4 linked regions of the Drosophila melanogaster genome follow. The protein of the gene in region 3 binds, or shares a complex with, the protein of the main gene of each other region. Each region holds a gene or a part of one and is shown on either strand. Other genes may lie near its edges.

The links.
Region 1: FAM21 (region 3) and Strump share a complex: the UniProt entries of both Drosophila melanogaster proteins name them as parts of the WASH complex.
Region 2: FAM21 (region 3) and wash share a complex: the UniProt entries of both Drosophila melanogaster proteins name them as parts of the WASH complex.
Region 4: FAM21 (region 3) and SWIP share a complex: the UniProt entries of both Drosophila melanogaster proteins name them as parts of the WASH complex.

Annotation. Positions count from the first base shown.
Region 1 is NT_037436.4:16,120,167-16,126,554, reverse strand, and holds Strump (strumpellin), read right to left. Parts: upstream 4,554-6,388; 5' UTR 4,462-4,553; exon of another isoform or gene 4,410-4,461; 5' UTR 4,369-4,409; coding exon 4,250-4,368; intron 4,194-4,249; coding exon 4,091-4,193; intron 4,032-4,090; coding exon 1,204-4,031; intron 1,144-1,203; coding exon 772-1,143; intron 710-771; coding exon 556-709; 3' UTR 503-555; downstream 1-502. Other genes in the region: Pgm1 (phosphoglucose mutase 1), read left to right, coding at 1-213, 280-418. UniProt on the Drosophila melanogaster protein: Acts at least in part as component of the WASH complex which may regulate wash nucleation-promoting factor (NPF) activity and is required for its membrane targeting during endosomal sorting.
Region 2 is NT_033778.4:12,178,609-12,182,882, forward strand, and holds wash (washout), read left to right. Parts: upstream 1-1,884; 5' UTR 1,885-1,932; intron 1,933-2,014; exon of another isoform or gene 2,015-2,017; 5' UTR 2,018-2,092; coding exon 2,093-3,592; 3' UTR 3,593-3,765; downstream 3,766-4,274. Other genes in the region: CG8860 (uncharacterized protein), read right to left, coding at 979-1,185; CG13175 (uncharacterized protein), read left to right, coding at 4,188-4,274. UniProt on the Drosophila melanogaster protein: Acts as a nucleation-promoting factor by activating the Arp2/3 complex to induce actin polymerization. Participates in both linear- and branched-actin networks.
Region 3 is NT_033778.4:20,621,549-20,628,838, reverse strand, and holds FAM21 (family with sequence similarity 21), read right to left. Parts: upstream 5,293-7,290; 5' UTR 5,224-5,292; coding exon 5,122-5,223; intron 5,065-5,121; coding exon 4,870-5,064; intron 4,810-4,869; coding exon 4,670-4,809; intron 4,620-4,669; coding exon 647-4,619; 3' UTR 524-646; downstream 1-523. Other genes in the region: Rcd6 (reduction in Cnn dots 6), read left to right, coding at 1-43; CG11180 (uncharacterized protein), read left to right, coding at 5,536-5,608, 5,665-7,290. UniProt on the Drosophila melanogaster protein: Acts at least in part as component of the WASH complex which may regulate wash nucleation-promoting factor (NPF) activity and is required for its membrane targeting during endosomal sorting.
Region 4 is NC_004354.4:16,312,059-16,318,254, reverse strand, and holds SWIP (strumpellin and WASH-interacting protein), read right to left. Parts: upstream 4,547-6,196; 5' UTR 4,437-4,546; intron 4,376-4,436; 5' UTR 4,374-4,375; coding exon 3,858-4,373; intron 3,797-3,857; coding exon 3,590-3,796; intron 3,534-3,589; coding exon 2,433-3,533; intron 2,371-2,432; coding exon 2,118-2,370; intron 2,064-2,117; coding exon 1,909-2,063; intron 1,843-1,908; coding exon 1,416-1,842; intron 1,352-1,415; coding exon 1,146-1,351; intron 1,086-1,145; coding exon 642-1,085; 3' UTR 505-641; downstream 1-504. Other genes in the region: Cyp1 (cyclophilin 1), read left to right, coding at 1-73; CG9915 (uncharacterized protein), read left to right, coding at 5,289-5,307, 5,373-6,196. UniProt on the Drosophila melanogaster protein: Acts at least in part as component of the WASH complex which may regulate wash nucleation-promoting factor (NPF) activity and is required for its membrane targeting during endosomal sorting.

The sequences.
Region 1 (6,388 bases), on a different chromosome or scaffold from region 3:
CATGGAGAAGACCATAACTGCTCCGGAGTTCGTCGGCAAGAGCTATTCCAGCGGCGGAAAAACCTACAAGGTCAAGGAGGCCGACAACTTCAGCTACACAGATCCTGTCGACAAGTCGGTGGCCACGAAACAGGGTCTGCGCATTGTGTTCGAGGATGGCAGCCGCATTGTGGTGCGCCTCAGTGGAACTGGAAGCTCGGGAGCAACCGTTCGGTGAGTCACGATGAGATTTAATATCAAACAATTCTTTTCAATAATAGATGAATTGTTCCTTTTCAGCTTGTACATTGATTCCTATGAGAAGGAGAATGTTTTGGGCCAGGCCAGCGTGATGCTGAAACCCTTGATCGACATCGCCCTGGAGATCTCTCAGCTGCCCAAGTTCACTGGACGCAACGCTCCAACGGTTATCACGTAAAGAGTTCCTGTCAGCGAAGGAACACTGAGATTACCAACCCATCCAACTACAATCTCCTCTTGTACCTCAGCGAGGCATTTCCTTGTTATGTTTCGGATTTATTAAAGTTTGTGTAGCCCAAACCTGTTGGTTAGTTTTCATTTTAGCAGTGTGGATAAATACTCGTACTCGCTAAGTATTATGTTGGGAATGCGCTGCTCCAGAACTCCGAGTGGCAAACGAGCAATGCGTATAAAGGCTAGAAGAAAGTGCAGGGCGGTGACCACCTCGGGACCCAGGATTTCTTTATCCCTAATAAAGAAAAGTGTATGTCATCTGATATTCGTGGATTATCTTGTAACTAAAGTACTTACAGTAACTGAGCCTCCGATACAGTCACCACGTACTGACTCATGTAGGATATATACAGCATCTTGACATTCTTGTGGAACTGCTGCAAGATCGTTACTAGACCCACAATAAAAGGCACATTATCAATGTTATCTTTGGCTGATTTTGGCAACAGACAATCGGTAATCGTGGAATGCTGCATACGACCCAAATGGGCAATGGTGAAAAGAAACATAAAGAGGGCCATGTTATGGGTGTTCTTTGTGATAAGGAAGACTTGCTCTAGGGGCTCAAAGTTTCCCGTATAGAGCAGGGTTTCCTGCAGTTCTGTCAACATGACCACACCCTTTTCATCACAGAGATCCTTGCTGAGAGACAGTTCTAGTAAAAGGGCTCTGTTTGCGGAAGAGATTGCAAATATATAAATATTTTTAGGATGTTATAGTTTGACTTACTTGTTCAGGGTGTCCGCCGTGTTCTCCAGCAACTTGGCATCACATTTACTGCTAAAGCTTAGCTCTCCTGCAATTTCTCTGCGGAGCAGCTGCTTCTGTCCAATGCACAAAACCCAATCCAACAGCGTGGGCCACACTTTCAGCCATCGTTGGGTGTAAGCTTGATAATACTTCAAAGGCTGCTTGGACACCTCCGGAGTTGGGAAGTCCCGGGCCTCCAATTCCCGAGTCAGTGCCGCTAACGTATCCACCCACATACGATCCGAGGTCAGGTTACGCTGTAACCGTTCCAAGTTGCGCTTTAACTCATCAGCCAACATGTGAGCGTAGAGGCGCTCCAATCCCACCATTCCTGCCGGAGCCAAGGCTTCTCTAAGTATCTCAAAGAATCCAGAGCCGGCAAGAACTTCCTGGTGAGGAGCCTTCTTCTCATACCAAGTGCTTTTTAGATCCAGAAAAATAGTTTGCTTGGGATCTGTGCACCGCAGAATTTCGTGGGCCAGACGGCCAATGAAGTTGTTAGACGGATCTCCCAACAGCGGTGGAAAGTTGGGAATGGGTATGATCTGGCTCTGGTGCTCCGATTGAAATTCCTGCACTTTGTTGCGGAGGAAGGCATTGCATTCCTTCTCCACATTGTAGTTAATAATGCGTTGCGATTCCTCCAGCAGGATTCGAAGTCCCTGAACTCTTAAGTAGTCCTCTATATATTCGAAGGATCTTCGATATCCCTCTATTGTTTTCGCCAGAGCTTGCAGTTTTTGTTGAAGAAGCTGCACAGGAGTCTTGCCTTTCTCGGGCGTAAATATTAGGCCCAGATTGTAGGCATTTGCCAGATGATTTACAAGCTCCTTGCGTATCCCATCCTCCAATAGTTGTTTAGGATCCAGCTCGATTACTCCCACTAGAGTTGTTTTCATCATAAGAATTCCCTTCGTAAAAACAGCAATGGAGTTTGTAAGCTGAGCCACCTTGGCCCGCTCCTCAAACTGGGCATAGTCCTTTAGACGCTCCTTCTCCACTTTAGTGGGAAACTCCTTGATAACATTCGTAAGGAGATAGATGATCTTAGCCAGAATACTGAACATGGTCTCTGGAACAATTTGCAGAACGCGGCGCAGGAAGTTTGCTAGCTCGGTGCTGTAATAGTTTGACACAGAGACCAGATCCTCGCTTCTGGCCTGATTGATCCGCATCAGCGGCACCTCCAGGGTGCTGGCCAACTTGAGAAAGACCGCTCGTATACCTATTACCGCCTGTGGCTGTCTTTTGATGTGTTCCTGCATGGGAGGAGTGAAGTCAAACTGCAGTAGATGCCAAGCATAGCTGAAGTCAGTGATCATCTGGATGTGAATCTCAATGTCTTCCTTCAGGTTTATTAGCTGTGCCATTTGATTGAGCATGTCTCGCGTCTCCTGTAGTTGCTGCTTCACCAGCATGTTGGAATGAAGGTTGTGATACTCCTGCACATCGTCCAGTGCTTGCATCACCTGAATAATCAGCCTTCCGGACTTTTGGGGCCTGCTCAATTCCAGTTTCTGGAGACGTCCAGCAACTTCGCCAAACCATTGCTGCAACTGAGGATTCTGTTCAATCTTGGACAAAGGCCTGGAGCCGGCAAAGGCTTCGCTCAACTCATTGAGCCTTTGCATGGCCTCCTCTCTGCTTTTCGTCCAGCGCTCCTCCTTAGTCTGCTGAATCTCTGCCAGGAACTCCCTCACGCTCAGCTCCATTTGGCTGCAGTTAAGCAGTAAGTTATACAGCGTATTCCGATTGAATTGTAGTTCGTGGAGCACACATTTTTGCACTTGACCCGTCAAAGTAGCTGTGTGAGCAAAGATGAAAACTTCCCTTGAGGTGTGCAGGCAAAACCAGCGGAGCAGGACATTGGATTGCCTCATCAGGTGTATGATTTTGTTGGCGTGCTCCAAAACAAAGTTGTCATTTAGAACTCCTTCACGAACAATCTCCTGGGTTTTTTGAGTGATCTTGCCCAATTGCTCCTTTTGCTGCTGACAGAGTGCTTTGATTGCCGGTGGACTTATCACATTTTCAATAGCAGATCGAGCGGCTTTGAAATCCAACCAGGCATCCACCAGATTCACTGTCATGCCCATGTACACGGATATGGTCCAGTTGTCGCAAAAGAACTTGTCCACAATTTCGCGCATCTGTGAGCCTTGGGAATGAAGAACTTGCGGGCAGAAATACAAGCACACATACAGCATGGCCGCCTGAGTAGACAGAGCCGTGGAGCGATGGGCAGGATGTGGATACAGGTTCAGTTGGTTGTATATATCATCGCACCGCAGACGAGCCACCACTAGATCCACGAAATTCTCATCGAAACGGAAGCGAGAGAAGTAGGCCTCCGGGTATCGGGGAACCACAAGGCTAGCAGCTCTAGCGCCTGCCTGTTTGCCACCCAAACCGAGCACTTTAGCGGCAATCGACGGATGAACATAGCCCGTAGATCGGAGCAGGAGACAAACATCATGGATATTACTCTCGTCTCCGCTAGGCGTTGCATCTCCTCCACTATACCGATAGTAGGCGATCAGCAGACGTTCTCTCACATCCCCCGGAATGTGAAAATCGACCATGAGGAGAATCACACCAAAGAGATACAGGGATTCGCAGAGCAGTTGGCGGCCCTCCTCCTCCTGAAGTACCGTCTCCAGCGTCTGCTGGATATAGTAGCCAGTGTTCAATTCCTCGATATATTGCTGGAGATCGGAGGCATAGTGATGGATGCTCTGGAAGGCCAGGTAAAATCGTGTGATTAGCGGAAGCTGGGCACGTGCCTCATCATCGAGTTCGGTCAGTTCCTGAAGGAAATCAGGGTGTTTAATACGGTGTGGTCTCGGGTATATTAACATCAAATTACCGGACTTTGTTCGATCCTCCTCTCGTGATCTTCGGCTATCTTGAAGTAGCTGAAATCCAGAATAAGCTCGCCATATTTCGCCTTATCAGCTTTGTTGTCCAATCTGGGGAGGAGTGGTCACCAATTATTCATTAATTGCAGGTTTTTAATCTATGTTACCTATAAATACTGGGCACGTAGTCCTTGAGGCGCAGGATCTCTGCTATTATAGAATTACCCACCGACACTATATTCAGCAGATTCTGCCCACAGGCATTATTGTCATCCAGAAAACTCATTATGCATTTCCTTGATTTCTGTGATTCTAACAAATGCCTCTCTGGAGAAAGCTTAATTTGTATAATCACATTATTAATTAAAGCTGTACATACTTTTTATCAGTCCACGAATTATGTTATTGTTTGTTTATATTGTCTATTCATTTAGTCATATCAATTCTTTTTTGCACTAGTGTATTATCTGCAGTAATCTTACATAAGTCCGGTCACACTATTTTGTTGTTATAGAGTTACCATGAACTTCGAAATGTTGGCGCATAAATTTGAAGTGAGAAACTGATGATAACAACCTATGAGGTACATAATTTAATAACAATTATTAAATTTATTAAAATGAGATATGAAACTACTATTGTATTGAATAATAAAATTATAATATTGGCTTAATAACTCTATTCGATGCATTAAAGTGCAATAATGATGGAAGATCTAATGGTTTCCGACTTTAGATTCACGATTTCAATTTTAAAATTTAAAAAAGAAAGCAAGTTGTAATACGACATTAAGAAAATTGCCAATTCGTTATGTGTTTCTGGTTGAATCCAAACGTGAATTTGGTTCTATTTATTTTGTGTTAGATTTTCATTCTATGGGAGCTACACAAAGTTTCAGTAGGATTAATTAACATAATAAATGAATATAAAAATATTAATAAAATTAATTAATTCAACTACATAAATTGTAATGATTTAACTAGCTAATTAACTGAGATACCGTTACATATTCCATACGACATAAAATAATAATATGCATAAGCAAACACTGCGCACTAAAATAAATTCTGCATATTCCCAGCTAATAATTCTCCGTGCTCAGTTGAAGTTTTCTCAATTTTTTCTTTTATTTTTTTGCTTAATGTTAAAACATAATAATAATAATATATATATATTCAGTTATATGCCTACCAAACTATGCGCTGTTTACGGTTGCATCTGCATTTTGTTTATCATATTAATTTTTACACACAAAGAATTTGCTTAGAATGGTTTCACTTTTTGCTTAGGTTTACTGAATTACATCAATTGTTGTCAATTTATTTGTTATAATTTTTTTACGGGACTCTATTTTACAAGATTTATCGAGCTAATTGTATAAAATTTGTCTATTTTGTGTGTAGTTCAGATTGGATTAGGGGATTTATGGATCTATGGAGCCTAATGAATCGCCATTCTTAATGGATGAACGAGCGCCACTAATAAAAACATATTTTTTCGGTGTGCCAAGTTGTCTGCGCTCGCATCGCTCCTTGCCATCGATAATTTGTTAATTACGTTTGCGTTTTTACCTAGTTATCTATTAGAAAAACCGTAGCCTAGAATGTATTTACAATTTGTTGGGTTTGTTGTGGTCTTGCCTAACGATTGATTTCCGTTTATACATTATGGGTAATTAAAAATTACATCTTTTTTAAACAACTAAACCTAATTCAATGGATGTTTAAATGGATATTTTTCGGTTCTTTTTTTGATGTGTTCTTTTGTTTTGCTGTTGCTGAACTTGTTTCGATCTAGTTGGTTTTAAAAACCTTTATCTGTAATTCGGTTTCGATTTCTCTTCACGCGCCCTTGCTTTTTACTTAAAATCTAGGAATTATGGTTCGTTTTCGTTTAACAAACTAAGCTAAATAATTAAATATTAATAATTATGTTTATATCGTTTAGATAAGGCCGTCAATGCAGTTGATGCAAACATTATTATGTTACAAATTACAAATCAAACGCCCGCTGACTGCGCGCTCTCTTTTACCTTCTTTTACTTTCCTCTCTATTATTTTATTCTCTTCGTTTACTCTGGTTTTGTTTTGTTTTTGGATTGGTTTGGTTTAAGTTTTACAGAGAATTTATTGGAAAAATAAACGAGCTTTAAATTAGGCTTAAAATCAAATACGATTAGAATTTAGGATTTATGTAAATAAATGTAAAAATAGAAATTAAATAGAGCCGCCTAACTAAAAAGAAACAACAACAGGGGACACGCGACGCATTTAAAGTTGAGGCTAAAATATATTGCAAGTGGATGA
Region 2 (4,274 bases), 8.4 Mb from region 3:
TTGCTAAATTTGCTTGGGAAAATAAGTAAGTATACTATGTATATTTCATTAATGTATTAATAACTTAAAAAGGCGACGTGTGAGCTTTAACCGTAGCCCAAGTCGCAAATGGTGGTACTTACCAATTCCATATAGATAGATGGGCTTCGTGAACAGCAAGATATCCGAGCTCGAATAACTCGTCGTGGCAGTTCAAAATTCCAGGGCTGGATATCCCCTCGTCTTATGTGCTCTAATACACACTCGGCGTGTAGCAGGTTGTAAGAAATTCGCGTTTAAAATCAAATAACTTAGTGGGCGCTGCCATGTTTTAAAATTTATTCGATAACCGATCCCCGACTTAAAAGGAAAAGTGTGACCATCAATTTATAAAATTTAGCTTATATTTTGTAAAAAAATTGTTGCTTCTTTGTTTAGGAATTTTTAAGAAAAAGCAATTGTGTCGCAGAACAAAACGATGGCTAAAACAGTAATTTTAAAAAGGCATACAACACATATAAAATTATTTTTAAGGTTAAAGAAAGATTTTTATAACAGAATTAAAATCTTCTAATTTTAAAGCAATATTAGGCGAACCCAAATACATGCCATTGTACAATGTAGAATTTAATGTTAAATCATCTCTATGTTAAAATAACAAAATATAAACATTGTCAATTGGAAGAACGATTCAAAATAAGCAACTCGACCTAGATGAATGAAATAGTACAATACATGCCATTTTGTTGCTGAATGATAAGCTAAGATTTTGTTGAATTTTGGCTTAGTTGCATTCGGAAATATATTTACAACATTTTGAGCACACCCTCCAAGCACCCAATTTATAACCAGACTTTCTTATCTCAAACCCAAGCCAAAGATATTACATTGTATTGTGTGTATAAAATCCGAAGAAGGGGCATTTATTTCGCTAAAGATGCGCGTGGAATCGTGAACTACATGTAATCTCTTTCCGGTCCGGGGGCCACCTGCCGCTTTCTAGGATCCCACGATGATGTTGTTAATGGGAATGTGAATCAGCTTGACGAAGAAGCCGATGAAGCCCATGATGGCGAAGCCCACGGCGGTGGCGATGGCGATTTTCTGGAACTCCTTGCGGTCGGGTTTTGTGCAGCGCTTCACCAGGCGGATTGAGTCCTTGGCGAAGGCGCGTCCGGGTTCGGCGAATTTGACAACCTTGTCCATTTTTGATTTGTGAGTATTTAACTAAGAATTACCAATGAACTGAATTGATATTTATTTTGCTGCCGTGTCGCTTCTTGCAGTGTTACCAAGTTCCTCAGCTCAAAACATACTAAAAATTAACGCCTTTCCTTTAGTTGTTAATAAATTTTTTTTTTGGTTGAAATATAAGTGTATTTGAATTATTTTAATTTATTTTGAGTTTTTCTTTAAATTGAACCCATTCAATTATTACTTTGAAGCAAATCATTTAATGAACAGTTTTTAACAATTGATTTGGGCACACTACCCTACCCTAGCGTCGATGGAGGAACGGTGGATTTTTGAACATATGGACGTTTTCTATTTATTTATTTTTTCGTCATTTGGAAGTGAATTCCAAATTCCGTGCTCCGGAATGGCGTGCTTATAGGCTTACATTTGCCTAATTTAGTAATGATCCTGAATAAATGATCCCCTGATTAAAAAAGTTCTCCTAACAGTGGGATGAGTTTGAAAGGTATTTAAAAATGCCGCCTTCTCTAGTAGAAGTACTACAGCCGATCCGTGTCCTTAACTGCTTTATTAACAGTAATAGTTTTGGGAGACACCGCAGTTTATCTGAGGGTTAGTTTATCTGAAGGTTAGTTTGTTTCCTGGTGGTTTGTTTATCTGGTTAGCTTATCTGGGGTCTAGTTTACCTGAATGATAATTTACGTGGGAGTTAGTGTAACTGAGGGTTCAGTTGACTGGTGTTTCGTTTAGCTAGGGGTTAGTTAATCTGAGGTTTCGTAATTTTAAAAGAAATCCATTTAATTATTACTTTGAACCAAATCATTTTTAACATCTTGTAAAGCTTTTAGAGTTGGTCACACTACCATGAACAGCAGTAAAATTGCAAATAAATATGTAATTATTTGGCGATAGAAAAATGGAGGAGTCACCTTACCTGCACAGCCCCTACCAGGTGGCCATTATAGCCACCGACCTGCACCACGAGGATACCATAATCCAAGCAGCCCAGTCCCTGGACTGTCTACACAAAACCATAAACTCGATTTTCGAGCGAATCGATGCCCGCTTGGCGAGAAATGGTTCAAAGGTTGAGGACATAAACAATCGTGTGAAGCGCGCTCAGGCAAAAATCGATGCGCTCGTTGGCTCCAAGCGGGCCATCCAGATCTTTGCACCCGCCCGCTTTCCGGCCAGCGACGTCCTGGCACCGCTGCCAGCCACCTTTCCACAGGTGGCAGCCAATCCCCTAATGGAGCAGCAAGTGGACCAGCTCCCGCAAGGGACGTACAGCAGTCACAGTGCCGCGGACCAGAAGCCGGATGATGCGGACATCTTTTTCCATGTACGTGGCGATCGGGAGCAGGAATCGCCACTGGTCGCCGAACGGAAGATAACCAATCGGACCGCTGGCCTGGGCATCCTGCCTGCGGGTGGAGTGCGCTCCGTACCCTCGCTCATGCGATTCAATACCAATGAGTTCGCCTACGGCGAGGATCTGAATGCCTGGAAGCGATCCCTACCGCCGCAAAATGCTCGACGCGTTGCCAGTCAGTCCACTCAACTCACGGGAGAAAAGCAGCTCGCTCCGGCACCTCATTCGCTGGCCCACGGCACCACCAAACTGGCCACTCCAGCTGGGGACCTGCGCTACAATCCTGCTGCTTTGGCTGCACCCGCCATTGATGTTCCGCTGGACCTGCCCGACCTACCGGGCATAGCGAATGATCTGCAATATGAGCCAGTGGAGGAGCAAACACCAATAGCGCCTTCCCAGCAGTTCGGTGATTTACCAGAGCTGCCGGATTTGGGCCTCGAGGAGCAGGATATAATAGTGCAAGCCATCGCGGCACAGACGCACATTCCGGGACCGGTGCGTAGGAAGAGTGTGGGACAATGTCCTTCGCCAGTTACGGCGGCACCACCGCCTCCTCCTCCGCCACCACCGCCGCCTCCACCTCCTCCACCAGCGCAGACGAGCGCAATTCCATCACCGCCACCCTTTCCCACCAAAGGAGCTGTGAAACCGCTCTCCCCGTCGTTAGCAACACCTCTTAACATGCCGCAGCCGCCTCCAGCTACTGAAGATCCGCGATCTGAGCTTATGGCCGCCATAAGAAACGCCGGTGGAGTGCATGGCGGTCGTCTGCGGTCGCCTGCGGCTGCGCCGCTCGACGTGGTGGACAACAGTCGCTCCAAGGCGGGAGGCGCTGTCACGGGGGATTTGATGGCAGACCTGCATAACAAGCTAATGCTGCGACGCAAGGGAATTTCTGGGAGCCAGAATCCCGTGGAGGCCACTGCTGGCAATCCCCTGATGCAGCAGCTCTCCCGCGTCATACCGCCGCCGGTGCAGCCCCGCAAGGGATCTAAGTCGAGTGACGAACACTCCGAGGACGACGAGGATGGGTGGAACTAGTGAATATTTAGCTTTAGTACCGGTTTAAGTGCCTTGGCTGGCTTAAAGCACTAGCAACCTAGGTTCTCTAGCTTAAAGCATACAAATTTCTAAAACGAATTCCAAATTCTGTGCCCAAGCGAGCATGCCAAATTAGGTCAAAGTCAACCAGTTGAATAAAACTACATATTAGCAGAAATGTGTGTAATTTCTTATTGAGAACATTGGCTAACTTTAATTGATAAAATTACAGGACAATGAAACATTTTGTGATGCTAAATGAAATAAAACAATTCTTTATACTGACTAAAATAAACTCGATATTAAATTATAATAAAACACTAAATTCTAGTTTTAGATAACAGCTATTTTCCTATTTGAAATAAACGAATTTCCCTGTTAAATCCTTAACAGCGCTGTTGTGTTGCTCTCTGCCAGTGCTGTAAAATGCCGCAGTGGAATCACATTTCGGGTAAAAACAAATTGAAATATCCACCGAATTTAAATATTAAAGTTAGAGAAGCTGCCAAATATCTGGAGTTACAATCAGGGACAAGGACAAGGACTACTACACTAGAGGAGAGCTTTTACAAGCAATCCGGTGAAACCACATATAATGACAAGTCCGTCGCGGGATATAAACGATCTTTTTGACGATATTGTCCTGACCGAGGAGAAGGAGGCACGTTTGGGCTACGAGGAG
Region 3 (7,290 bases):
CGAGTCCGACGATTACCGGAAGTACCGCGATGTGGCTCTTTGAGTCCGTTTTTTTGGTTCTGGAAACCGGATCCCAATCGATCATCAGTCAGCGTTTAGGTTAAGCTCACTAGTTGTAGGATATGCTCGATCTAGAATGAGATTCCTCGGAATAACGACCAAAGAGCCACAAACTAACTCAGTTTCAGTTCGTAGACTAACGTTACACTGCGAGAATCGTATAGCGCGTTTATGCGCCAGTCAATTTGTAGCTTAAATGGGTCTGCATTCAGTTTTATTTGCTTTACTGAATAACACGACCTATTTGCAAATAAAAGTGTACTAAATATGAGACTCCATGGGGATATAATTTTATATGCAAATAAAAGTAATCGTAATAGTAAATATCACGAAATATCAGACGTACTCAAAAATATAAATAGATATTTCTAAAACAAACAAATATCAAAAAGCATACCCCCCCAATAAGAGAGGCACTGTATGAAAATTGCCCAAGTCTAGTTCTAAGAATCGAACACAAATGAACATTGACATTCATTGTTTATTATAGTTAATAGGAATACGAATAACAATACTCTGATCGACAGTCTAACCATCCACAGATCAAAAAGTGTACATACTTGTAATAAAAGGCGTAACTGTTTTCTCACTTGAAATCAAGAAGATCGGCCAATGGATTATCACCGGAGTTTGATGGAATGGTAGCAGTGGGCGTGGTGGTTTTACTGGCAGGTGGTTTACTTGCTGTCCTGGCCGCGGGTTTGGTCTTTTTGGCAGCAGCTGCTTTGGACGTGGAGCTTCCTCCGAACAGGTCATCATCGTCGTCGTCGTCGCTAAAGAGACTTTTGCTTGGTTTCACTGGCAACTTCTTAGCAGGAGCACTCTTTACAGGCACTTCGGCTTCCTCATCATCGCTGCTGAAAAGAGAAGTCGCCGCTGGTTTGGGGGGCTGTTTAGCTTGGACGGGCTTGCTGGCGGTTTGGATACTAGGAGCTCTGGCAAACAGATCATCATCATCGTCGTCGCTATCATCAAACAGTTTCGGCGCAGCCTGTGACTTGGGTTTAGCAGCCTCCTTGGCATTCGATGGTTTCGGAGGAGCAGTTGTGACTTTTTGAAAAGCATTCATGATTTCTGCTGCAAATGCTTTTTGCGCGGTAGTAGTTGCATTTGTTTTTACAGAATCAAATAGGAAATCATCTTCATCTGGGCTGGCCAAAAATGAGTTTGCCATCTTTGGCGGCTTCTTTTCTACTGGAACTACATTGATACCCGCCTTGTTATTTTCAAGATCACTGAAAAGCTTATCATCTGCATCAGGGCTGTCCAAAAACGAGCGATATGACTTCGGCGGATCAGTACCCTGCTTTCCCTCAACTGTTTTTGTCGGGACGGAATTAAAAAAGGAATCATCCTCATCGGGGCTGTCCAGAAATGAGCCACCAGTGTTAGATGGCGGCGGTCTTTGGAGCTGCGGCTGAATTTGCTGGGCTGGGGTTGAAAACAGCTTTTCAGGTTTAACATACTGAGGAGAGGGTGCCTTAATGGAACTTCGCTCAGAGTGTTCAACTTCTGGGCTATCTCTAGTCGAAGCTGTTGGGCCTTCATTTTGCCCAGCATCCAATAAGCTTTTGGCATAGTTTTCCTTTCTTCCTCTTCTGGTAGATGGTCGCCTTTTGGCAGGTCCACGAGCGCGAGATTTGTTCACATGCTGCAGGACACCGTCTGCAGAAGAAACAGTGTTTTGTCCAGAACTTGGTGCCTCAGCCTCAGTCTGAACTGTCGCTTGAGGTTCATCTCTCTCGGAACTCGATGATTCTTGTTTCCTGATCAGCTTTGGCACGCTACCAGAACCCGGAAGAAGGGCATGTACATTGATGTTAATATTAGGCATTTTCAGCTTCTTAACGGGCGAAGTGGGTTTCTGCAATTCAGGCGTCTCCTTAACTTCACTACGATCAGTTTCATCAGCTGGCGGTGGCTCGTCATCGAAAGGGAAGCGTTTGGGCGCTGGCTGCACTGCTCCTGCCCTTGCAGTCTCACTGAAATCATCGTAGAAGATTGTGTGTATTCGGGTGGTTGACGCTAGTTCGTCCTTCTGAGGTTCAGCTTCCTTCTGCACTTCTTCGCCTGCATGATCGTTATCTTCGGGTGGCACATCACTAAACAAGCACATGGCACCGTAGTCAGACGACACAGAAGGTTGATCCCCCGGCGTCACTGGAGATGGCTTTGTCGCACTGGGAATGTTTGGCAGAGCGGGTTCGAAGAAGTCGTGCTCGTTGTCAAAGATTTTGGAGGCACTTAGGCTGCTGAGACCGCTGCTGCCAAGCGTTTGAAAGAATTCACTGTCATCCGGCGGTTCGTCGGAAAAGAGATTCGAGTAATTTTGCATGATTTGCTGCGCAGCAGCCAAATCCGCCGGCTTTCGCGGGGTAAGTGTATCCACTGATGTTTTATTGGTGACATCAGCCACCATTGATATAATGGGATCTACGTTGCTTTGATAATCGTCTGGTGGTGGAGTTTCCGAAACGGGTTCATCTATTTGAGGCTTACTTAACATTTCGGGCACCAGTTCATCCTTTTCAACGACAGCTGTTATTTCATATATTTTGTTCTCTGGCAGTTGCTGTGGCAATTCTTCTGCTTTAATCTCTTTCACCAGCTGCACCTCAGATGGTTTTTTAATATCTTCGTTTTCTGTACCAACTAATGGCTCATTCTTGGACATAGATGCACTCAAAAATGTATCATCATCGCTAAAATCTTCGTTAAACAAATCAGTTGGTTTGATAGATAGTTTTGTAGGAGGATTCACTGGGGATACATTTTCCTCAGTTTGCGAAGTATATTTTTCAATTGGTTTGTTAAATTCATTAGTTTCATTAGCACTTTTTGGCTCAGCCATATTATTTGAAGTACTAGAGAATAGCTCATCGTCGGTTAAGTCTTCACTGAACAAATCTTTAGATTTGGTAATATTTGCTGCTGATGTATCATCCTTAACCGCCTCCCATTCTTTATCATCAGACTTTTGTTCCGTAACTTCCATGGGAGGAGGTGAATCTCTGAGAATAGGCACAGATGCATTTTCTGCTATTACTTGATGCTGCTTTTCTCCAGTTTCTATATTCTTGGATTTCTGTTCTGCAATCTCACTTTGTTTCTTATCTTCTCCAACTGCTTCAGGATCATTATCTGGTTCACTTCTAATTAAGTTCTTAGCCTTTGGGGTTCCAAACAAATCCTCATCTTCAATATCATCAAAGAGACTTTTCTTTGAAGCTACAGGTGTTTCAACATTTTTGTTGGGCGAAACTCCCGAAGACGTCTCCTTTGGAATTACCTTTGCCTTTTTCGAACCAAACAAATCAGTGACATCATCTTGATCATCGTCTTCAAACAAACTTGTCTTTCCAGCTACTCTTTCAGATAGCTTTTTCGGTTGAGCAGATGGTTTCGTAAATATATCATCGATATCCAAATCATCATCATCAAATAAGGAGGGCTTTGGTTTTGAGAGCAGTTTTTGTTCTGGTGGCTTTGCTTTGGGCGTAAAGGAGCTCAAGAAGTCGTCGTCCTCCAAGTCATCATCGAATAGAGATTTGGTTACCGGTTTAGGTGGCTTTTTGGAAGGATTTTCCTTTGGCATGGCAGGAGAACTACCAAAAAGCGAGTTATCTTCATCATTATTGGCCACTACAACTGGACTCCGTTTTGGTATTGCACCCGTTGCTTTAGTATTATTAAAAACAGGCTCTGACCTCGGAGTTGGACTCAATGGAGGACTGTCGTCGAAGAGGTTTACACGTTTTGGAACTGTCTGCTCAACAATCTGCTTTGGCGGCCCTGGCTTTGGATATTCTTCCACGGGTTTTTTAGTTTTGGGTGGTTCTTTTGTTGAAATTGTCGTTGCTGGGGAGACGGAGCTGCTGGGTGTTTTTGACTGGACTTTGTCCACGATTTCGGACATGAAGGATTTAAACTCATCTTCGTTAAAAAGATTAACTGGCATGCGCTTTGTTTGGCTTGGCTTGATCTCAGCCTCCTTCGGAGTTTGGGTTGAAACAGCTTCGTCGAAGAGTCGAGGAGGTTGTTGGGCAGGACTACTGCTACTGGAACTAAGCGATGCAGTAGATACGATTGGAAGGCGACTTGATGGATTCCTAAAGGCTGGTGAAGATGTAGGCGATGACGATGTGGATGGCGGGTCGTCGCTAGGCGGCGATTGCCGGAGGGCAGCAAACATGTCCCTCTCATGTGGATTCCTTTGACTGTTTATAATTGGACGCGGTTGTGTTCTGATGACAGGCTCTGCTACCTGAACAGCAGGGTTAATGACTGGCGACACGATTGCCGGTTCCCTGGCAAACGAGGCTAGGGAAGAGGAGTCAGACAGATGCTGTTCTTCTAATTTGTTCGCTGGCGTTGCTATTTTTTTGGTCTCGGGTTCCTTTTCGTCCGATGAGCTTGAGGAGAATTCCTCGGATCTGTCATCTTCACTATTCTCCTTACTGTCATACAACCCGGCATACTTGTGTTCCTGCCACTCTTTGGTACCAATAATATAGGGCAAAGGTATCGCATCATAGGGATTCTTAGCACGGAATACGGTTCTGTGGAAAGTGGAGTTAGTATGGATCGGAATCGTAGTGTAGTCACTTACGTTGAGTGGACGGGGCCATCCTCATCATCCGAATCGGGCACTTCTATGGTCACCGGCTCGTAGTTTTTGCGGAACATACGAAGGTTGTTTTCCAGAAACTCCTTTGCCAATTCCTCGGAACTCTTGAGCGGCAGCTCTGGCTGCAAGCATATTAAGATCTGTAAACACAGCAGCCTGCAAAATTCCATCGCTTATTGCACCTTCTTTTTCTTCTCTTCGGGCATGGCCAAATCTGCGTCATCCACTTCCTCCACCCGATACTCCACGAACTGATTTCCAAACTGCAGGGATCGCAGGCTGGTAGTGGCATTGTTCAGCGCTATATCCACTTGCTTCACGCTCGTCTCAAAGTCTCGCAGATTGCGGCTGGTCCTTTCGCCCCTTTCTTCCAGATTCTGTTGCAAAAATTTTATCAAATTGGCTTGTTATCTATGCACGTATGTGAATTTAACCTGGGAAATGCGCTTCATCAGCGCCAGCAGAGCACAGTCGCCCGCGAAGGTCCAGTCCGGAGCCTGGGCTATTATCTGATCCACATCCGCGCTTATATCCATTATCAGTCGACTGCAAGCTCGCAAGTCAGAAAATAATAACAACTAATTAAGAGCAACAACAACAAACTTAGTAATGACACCCAAATAGAGATGAGCGATAGTTAATCACCTGTTATCAGCGCACAGCCAACGCTCATCCCTAAGCCTGCTGAGCAGCTGTTTCGACAATCGCTATCGATATATCTTGTTTAAACTTGCTATCGATATTTGATAGCACGTGTTGGGTTGTTCGCAATTTACGAATTGTATCTTTGTTAGTTATCCGCAATTTACATTTAAAACGAAGTAGATTATAAATAATTATAGACTAAAATGGCTATGCTGGCTGAACCACGTCGGCGCAAAAAGTACAACTTGTGTCCGCGCGGCAAGGCTCTCTATGAAGGTGAGCATTAAACTCCAAATGTGACTGGTAAATCGTAAATTCTTAAACTTTAACAGATGAAAATCGCTTCGGTACCAAAATGCTGGAGAAAATGGGCTGGACGAAAGGCAGTGGCCTGGGCGCCAATCTGAATGGCGAAAAGGATTTTGTGCGCATTCGCTTTAAAAATGACGCAGAAGGATTGGGTTTCGAGCAGCGCGATGATCAGTGGACTGTACACGAGGATGGCTTCAATGGGCTGCTTAAGTCGCTAAATGGGGAAGATAGCGGCGGCATAGACAAAGAGCCGGAGTCCGAAGAGGAGGCCAGACCTATGGGCTTTGGCTTCAAAGCCATTGAACCGGAGGAGCCGTCTAAGAAGAAACTCAAGGAGAACACCAGTGGAATGTCGCTGGAGGAGCGGTCGAAGCAGAGCAGGGCACGCGTCCACTATAAGAAGTTCACACGCGGCAAGGACTTGGCTCTGTACAGCGAAAAGGATCTAGCCAATATATTCGGCAAGAAGGCAACTGAGGACGTCGAGAGATATCCAGAACCCGTGCTGGCTGTCCAACCCGAGGAGCCAAACCCCAACTTCGCTGGCGTGCAGACAATTGTCACGGGCCTGTCGACCACTGATTATTTCAAGCAGAAAATGGAAGCCATGAAAAACAGACTAAAGAAAGGCTCCCAAGTTGAAGACAACAACGAGGCACAGACCAATGGTCATGCTGAAAAGTTTGAACAGATTTCAGCAGATAATGATGAAGTGACTTCCAAGAAAAAGAAAAAAAAGAAAGACAAGGAGAGGGCAGACGAGCCACCAACTAAAGAGGAAGAACCAGAGCAGGTTGCTTCCATGCCTAAGAAAAAGAAGAAATCAAAGCGATCATCCCTTGATGAAGAAAAATTAGTTGAAAGCGAAGAAAGGACTGACGAGCAACCCACTGCTGTGGAAGAAATCGAGCAGGACGCTCCCAAGCTTAAGAAAAAGAAGAAATCGAAGGGATCGTCTCTCGATGAAATTGAGCAGTCGGAGAACAACTTTGTTGAGGAAAAATTAGTTAAAAGCAAAGAAAGGACTAGCGAGCAACCAACTGCTGTGGAAGAAATCGAGCAGGACGTTCCCAAACTTAAGAAAAAGAAGAAATCTAAGCGATCGTCTGTCGATGAAACCGAGAAGACGGACAACAACTGCGTAGAGATGGCGGAAATCACTGAGGAAAGTGAAAGGACTTCCTCCAAAAAGAAAAAGTCCAAAAAAGAGGAGGAATCAGCAGAAGTGTCGATACAAACAGAAGAGAGTGACCAAAAAAAGAAAAGAAAGTCAGATAAAAATAAGGAGATTGCAGAAGATTCGATAGAAGAACCAGCTGCGAAAAAAAAGAAAAAGTCTAAGAAATCCGACGAAGTAATTGTAATCGATGATGACGACTTACACAGAAATAATGAATCGCATACTTCGAATGAAAATAGAACTAAAAATAAAAGTAAATCTAAGGACAGTCAAGAAACCACTCAAATTCAGGAAGAAATTACCATAGATTTAACAGCCGAAGCTCCGTCTAAGAAGAAAAAGAAATCCAAGGAAGAGAAGCGTAAGGACAATGATGAAAAAGATTTAGAAGAAACACCTCCCGCCTCGGAAGCTACTGAAAAGAAATCGAAGAAGAAATCCAAATTAAAATCGTCTGCGGAGCCCT
Region 4 (6,196 bases), on a different chromosome or scaffold from region 3:
GATCGAATCTTATGGATCGCAGTCTGGCAAGACCTCCAAGAAGATCATTGTGGCTAACTCTGGTTCTCTTTAAGAAGGTGCGATGCAAAAGCAACAGCAACATTGCAAGAAGAAAAATCTGTTAAGACGAAAACCATTTGCATTTTCTCCAAAACATTTTTTTTTACCAATTACTGTACTGTAATATTACGAGAAAAATACATAACAAACCAACATATTTTCAATAGACATGTTGGGTTTCCTTTGGCCAATCAATTGTATGTGGGGGCCAAAAGTGAATAGAATTAGTGCCCACCAATGTCAGAAAGCGTTCAATTGGCTATATAATATGCATTAAATCTGTAACTTTAACATTTCCATTCACAAAAAAAAAAACAAAGAAGAAAAACAATGAGACGACAAGAGTCGAGAGGGGCTTAGAAAAATGTTTGATCTTTTGATGTTGGCTTACTTACTACTAATAATAGTATTAGTAATGCTGATTATCTAATTGCATATATATATATATATACCAACGTTCTACGCTATGTACCGGAATCGGAATTGTATTTTCGTCTTAATAAATCTGAATAAACGGCAACCAACTACTCAATTGTTTGTTGTCACTGCTGGGATCTTTGGTTTTGGTAAATGGACATATTTTATTGGAAGAATATTTCGGAGCTACTCAAGGTGGCGTACAATAGATTGTATTCATGCTCGTAGGCGTTCACATGTCGTTCGGTTATCGCCACTGTCTGGTGAAGCTTCTCGTCCAGCTGCTCCGGCGCCGTCCGCTGCTGGCCCGCCAAAATGTCGCGCACCTTGGAGCGCTCCGCGTTCAGGTGCTGCGTGATCGTCTGGCTCCAGCCCAGCTCATGGAACTCCGTCTGCTGGTTCAGCATGTTGAGGATGTAGACCAGGCCGATGGCGAAGCCATCCTCGAACAGCGAGATCTTGGTCTGGTCCTTTTTGTAGATCTTTAGCTTCTGCTTGACCCGGTAGTCAATGTAGTTCATGATGAGCGCCGGTGTGATGAGGTAGAAGGTTCGCAGGTGGTGGTTATGTGGATTGCACAAAAAGGGCTGAAAGCCTTGCAGAAGAAGCTGCAATATAAATCCATGGGTTAAGCTGGTTACCTAACTTGTTAAGATCGTAGACTGCACCTTGAAGTAATTTGTGCTATCGGAATAGCACTCCTTCATGTGACCCAGGCTCTTCTCGTACTCCCTGATGGAACCCTCCGTAGCCTCGTGCACTTTGGAGCCCCCGCAACTGAAGTTGCTGTCGAATCTGGTTTTATACGAGCGATTCCGGAAGTTGGCATTCTTGCTTCCAGCCTGCAGGAGGCGCACATAGCCAACAGCGTTGCCTAAAAGCAATATTTACGTTTATATTTTAAGCATTTTCTTGAATTATGGTCTTTAACCACCTACCGACTTGTGTGATAACCTTCCTGAAAAGATCCATATACGTCTCGCCATTGCTGGAGCAGCCTAGCCTTCTGATCTTCTTAAGAAAACTATCGGCGCGCTCATAGGGATACGACTGATAGGACTTGCTGTGCTTGTGCTCCGTGTGAAAACGCAGCTCCTTGAGCAGCCGCGACTTGATCTGCTCGTCGTGGAGGAAGGTGGAGAAGGTGTAAAACTTTTGGCGCAAAAACTGGTATATAAAGTTGACGGTGGTGTTGATGATACCGGTGCCGTGCGTCTGCACCGAGTTGGCCACGTGCCGGGTGCCAATGATGTCGAGGTGCTTGCTCCTGCTGTTCGTCTCCACGAACACCTGCAGGTTCATGTTGTAGGCATACGAGGAGGCGAAAGTGTGTATATTCCGCATGATCTGCAGCACGTCTATGCCCTTGAAAGTGGGAAAGAATTGTTTGGTTAATAGAAGAGATTGCTTATTGATGATTCAATTGGTTACCTGGTCAATTATCTGATTGGGCAGGTGGTCATCGATGGGTTGCAGCTGCAGCACCTTGTTGGCCAAATGACGCATCTTTTCATACGATTTCCAGTCGTGCGGAGCGATTGTCGTTAAGTTGTAGAACGTGGCAGTGAAATAGTTCTCAAGATGATCTAAAATATGTTAATGAATGGCATGATCTCTCAGTTTTGTAACCGATATCTTACCTTTTATAATATTGTAATCACCATCGTTTTCAACTGCAACTGCATTGATGCAGAGACGATAGTCTAAGGCACTTTGCTGGAATGGTTGATCCTGGCTCTGGAAGAGATGCGAAAGGGCCTCCACGCGCAGAAAGAACTCCAGGTGGTTGCTCAAAAACTCAATGATCAAGTCATTCGCTGATTGCTTGGGACACCTTGAACCCCTGAACATGGCCATGATCTTGTCCAGATGATGGCTCACCGACACGAGGTTCTGCCGATGATAAATGGCATAAACATGAAGTTGCTTTGCCAGAAACTGAGTAAGAAACCAACCTGCAAGGAGTAGGGATTGCGTTGGAGTTCGGTGTACTCCTTAAGCACCGAAGTGTCCAGAAACCAGTGATTATATACCAGACTCGAGGACTCCGACGTGTTAAGTTGTCCACCAATATTCCGCATAATGTCGCTGATACTATTAACACGATGTAGGATCGATTTGATCAACTTTTGATTGTCGGCGGGCAGGAGGCGATTATCTAGAAACTCCCCGAGGGCTAGATTTACGAAAGTCAAACGTTGCTTGCTCGGAAATCCCATAATGGACTTCTCGGCCAGCTTTATTGTGGCCAAAAAGTTGATCTTGCGCTGCAGCAACTTGAGGACAACTATCTTCTTTTTCGTTGTGTGCAGCAGGTGTATGACCTTTTGCTTCTGCCATTGTATCAGTGAGCTGATAAAGCGCACGAAATTGATTTGGTTTGACTCAAAGGTCTTCTGAATGACCTTCAGGTACTGCAGCAACCGAGAGACGACGATCCAATCGTTTCTGGTCATGGGCGTCATCAGAGCCACGTGCCGATTGATCAGCGCGACTGCCAGCAGGTTAACTTGATCGGCATAGGAGTGTCCATTGAGAATCAACTGCAGAAAAGTCTTGAGGTGTCCAAAGACTCCCACATCGAATACCCTTTGCATTTGGATGGACCACAGCGATAGTTGGACGCCCAATTGGCGACAGGTCCTCTGATCGCTAAGCCTAAACTTCTCCAATACTGTGCTATGAACTTTTGGGCCTTGTCCATCTTGCGATCGGGCTGAAGACTTCATCAGGGTTTTGGCATGTAGAGAGAGGAATCCGGAAGGCGACCAGAAAACGCTTCGGTTGAGAGGCACCTGCTTATGCCTGGCCACCAAATCGATCACATTCTTGACCAGTTTTCCCTCCATCTGGATGCCTAGCTCATGGACGACGACCACGAAGGTGGTAAGTCGAATAATGTGCTTGGGATCCTCATAGTTTTTAAGTTCGTTACTCGGATTCGCGTCGACGTCGAGAAGCTGCCTACGAATATAGGCATTGGAATGCTGGGTGATGGGGCTAACACTATTCAGGCCAAATTGCTTCTTCAATTCCATCAAATTGTCCAGTAGAATCTGTTTGGAAATATCCATGAAAGGGCGGTTACCATTCACGTTTTTCTTTGACTTACCCGAAAGAAATCCTTGGTGATCAGATTCTCTATATCCATTAGCGATGTACTAAGGCCATTGAGCTCCAAGTTCGCTGATTGGCTATTGGATAGGTTCATCAGCCACTTCTTGTACAGCGCCCACATGGTGGATATCTTCGATTGGTTCGCCAGTTCATTGAATACCACTATGTGTTCCAGTAACTCACTCATTGCATCAAAGACAGCCTGCAAGTTTCGACTTCAATTGGTTACTACACTTGAGATGTGAGTTCGATCGTTGACTTACGAATATGTGGACTTCATTGATGTCCATTGGGACGCTAACAGATGCGGCTATTTGTCTCCAAAGGTTTTGGAGTATCACAATCATGCGATTGAGCAAGAAGTAAACCTGGCAGAAGAAGTCCATGGAGCTGCTCATGCGGACCAAGGATCCCTCCAAGCCGGCGGAACCCTCGGATGTGTGGGTATGTGGCGGGAGCGTATCATCTAATCGAAAGTCGCTGAAAAGGAATGCCAGCTGGAACCGTTTTGCCTTCCTGGACAGATTTCTGCACTGATTGCACAGATTCGCCAGAGTTGTCAGCGGTTTATTGGCCACCAGCTCCGATTCCTCAAAGCTTCTGTCCGGAGCCATGGAATCGTTGCCCATAAAGTTTACCTCGACCACGGGCGACATATATACACACTGTGCAGACTCGGAAACATCCCGATTAGGCACTTTATCTCGCAATAATTTCAATTTCCCATCGTGCTCCGATATGAAGGAGCCGTAATCCCGTAGGATATCCTCGGCAAACATAGCTGAAATAGAAAATATATAGATAAGAATAGTATTCCATAGCTGATATCGGCGTTTTCATACACATAGAGCTTTGCTCTTCCTTCATGTCTACCAATTTTAAAAATATTATTGTTTTGGTTTTCTCATGGCAAATTTAGGGATGGGGCATTTCAAGTGGGTGGATTCCGATTCGATAACGCTAAATTCTCGATATCTTTTGTTTAAACAAGCGTAGTTAAAACCCAAAAACTGTGTAAAATCGAAAATCGCGATTAATTGAATGGAAAAGTTGGTAGCATGTCTATTCCGATAAATGATTTATTTATACAATTTATAAGCAAAAATAATCCTCAGATAATAAATTCATTTTATTTATATAAGAAGCAATATAAATTTTTGATTCAAGAAACAGCGGTAAAAATACATAATCGTAATGACTATGAATATATGCAATACCTAGTTTTCATTCTGACTTAACAAATTAAATCAATTTCTATAAGTTTGGTTATCGATTTCCAAGGATTAAAATCGTACTCCTTGACACGAATACCTGTACGTCGCAGTCTATTTTTAAAACAAGACTTTTGTCCATAAACAAATTTAATTTTGATATTTAAGTTTTGGACTTAAATGTTTTGTAGAATAAGTTATTTCGGATGTCTTATCATAGAAGTTTTGTTATCGATAACAAAAGGCTTGTCGTGTATAAGGGCCCTAAACAGCGTGTATGCATTAGTGTATGTGTACACACAAGCGTTGATGTTCCGTTTCCATTCGTTCCACTGGCCTTACAAATGCCGAGCAATAAAATCGCGTCGTATTTTATAAGTCATTGCAGGAATTATTTAATTTGAGCCTGAAAGCAGTTTGACCAACTGACTAGGCAAATTTGGTTGTGTACTACTAAAAATTTATAGGAATAATTAGTACGGCATGGAAACGTCTGAAATAGGTTGATTACCAAATTGATTCTTAATGGAAATTCTTGTTTAACCATTTTATACACTTAATTTTCAGAAAAGGCCGGCGGCGACGAAGCCGAGACCTTATCCGAGCCACTCGAGAAGACCACAACAGACACGGCCGCAAAAGCGGAGCTAAAGGAAATTCAAGATACCAATCCCGACGCAACCAATTTCGAGCCAGTATTGCCAGAGAAGAGCAAGAGCAAGTCTCCTTCGCCGGCACCCAAGAATGGTGATGATAATGCCGAGGCCATCGCCGATCGCTCGCGTAGTCGCAGTCGCAGTGCTACCAGGAAGAGCGCATCCCGCTCCAGAAGCGGATCCCATAAGTCCCGCAGCGGATCGGTGCACTCGGCAGCCAGTGGCCGGCGTTCGCGCAGTGGCTCCAAGCAGTCGCTAAACGGTTCCCGGCGGTCGCGGAGCGGCTCCGCTCCGTCCCGCAGTGGCTCCCGTCATTCTGGCGCAGCACCGGGATCGCCTGCTGGATCCAGACGTTCGCGCAGCGGCTCTAGACGATCCCGCAGCGGTTCTAGACAATCCCGCAGCGGCTCTAGGCGTTCCCGCAGTGGATCTAAGCAATCGCACCGCTCACGCAGTGGGTCTAAGCGATCCCGCAGTGGATCACGTCGCTCCCGCAGTGGCTCTAGGCGATCCCGCAGTGGGTCTAAGCAATCCCGTGGTGGATCGCGCCGCTCCCGCAGTGGGTCTAAGCAATCGCGCAGTGGATCACGTCGCTCTCGCAGTGGATCTAAGCGATCTCGCAGTAGGTCCGGTTCTAGACGCTCAAATGCATCGCGGAGCGGTTCTCGACGTTCGCGAAGCGGCTCTGTATCTAGACGATCTCGCAGTGGATCTGGATCAAGGCGTTCTCGAAGT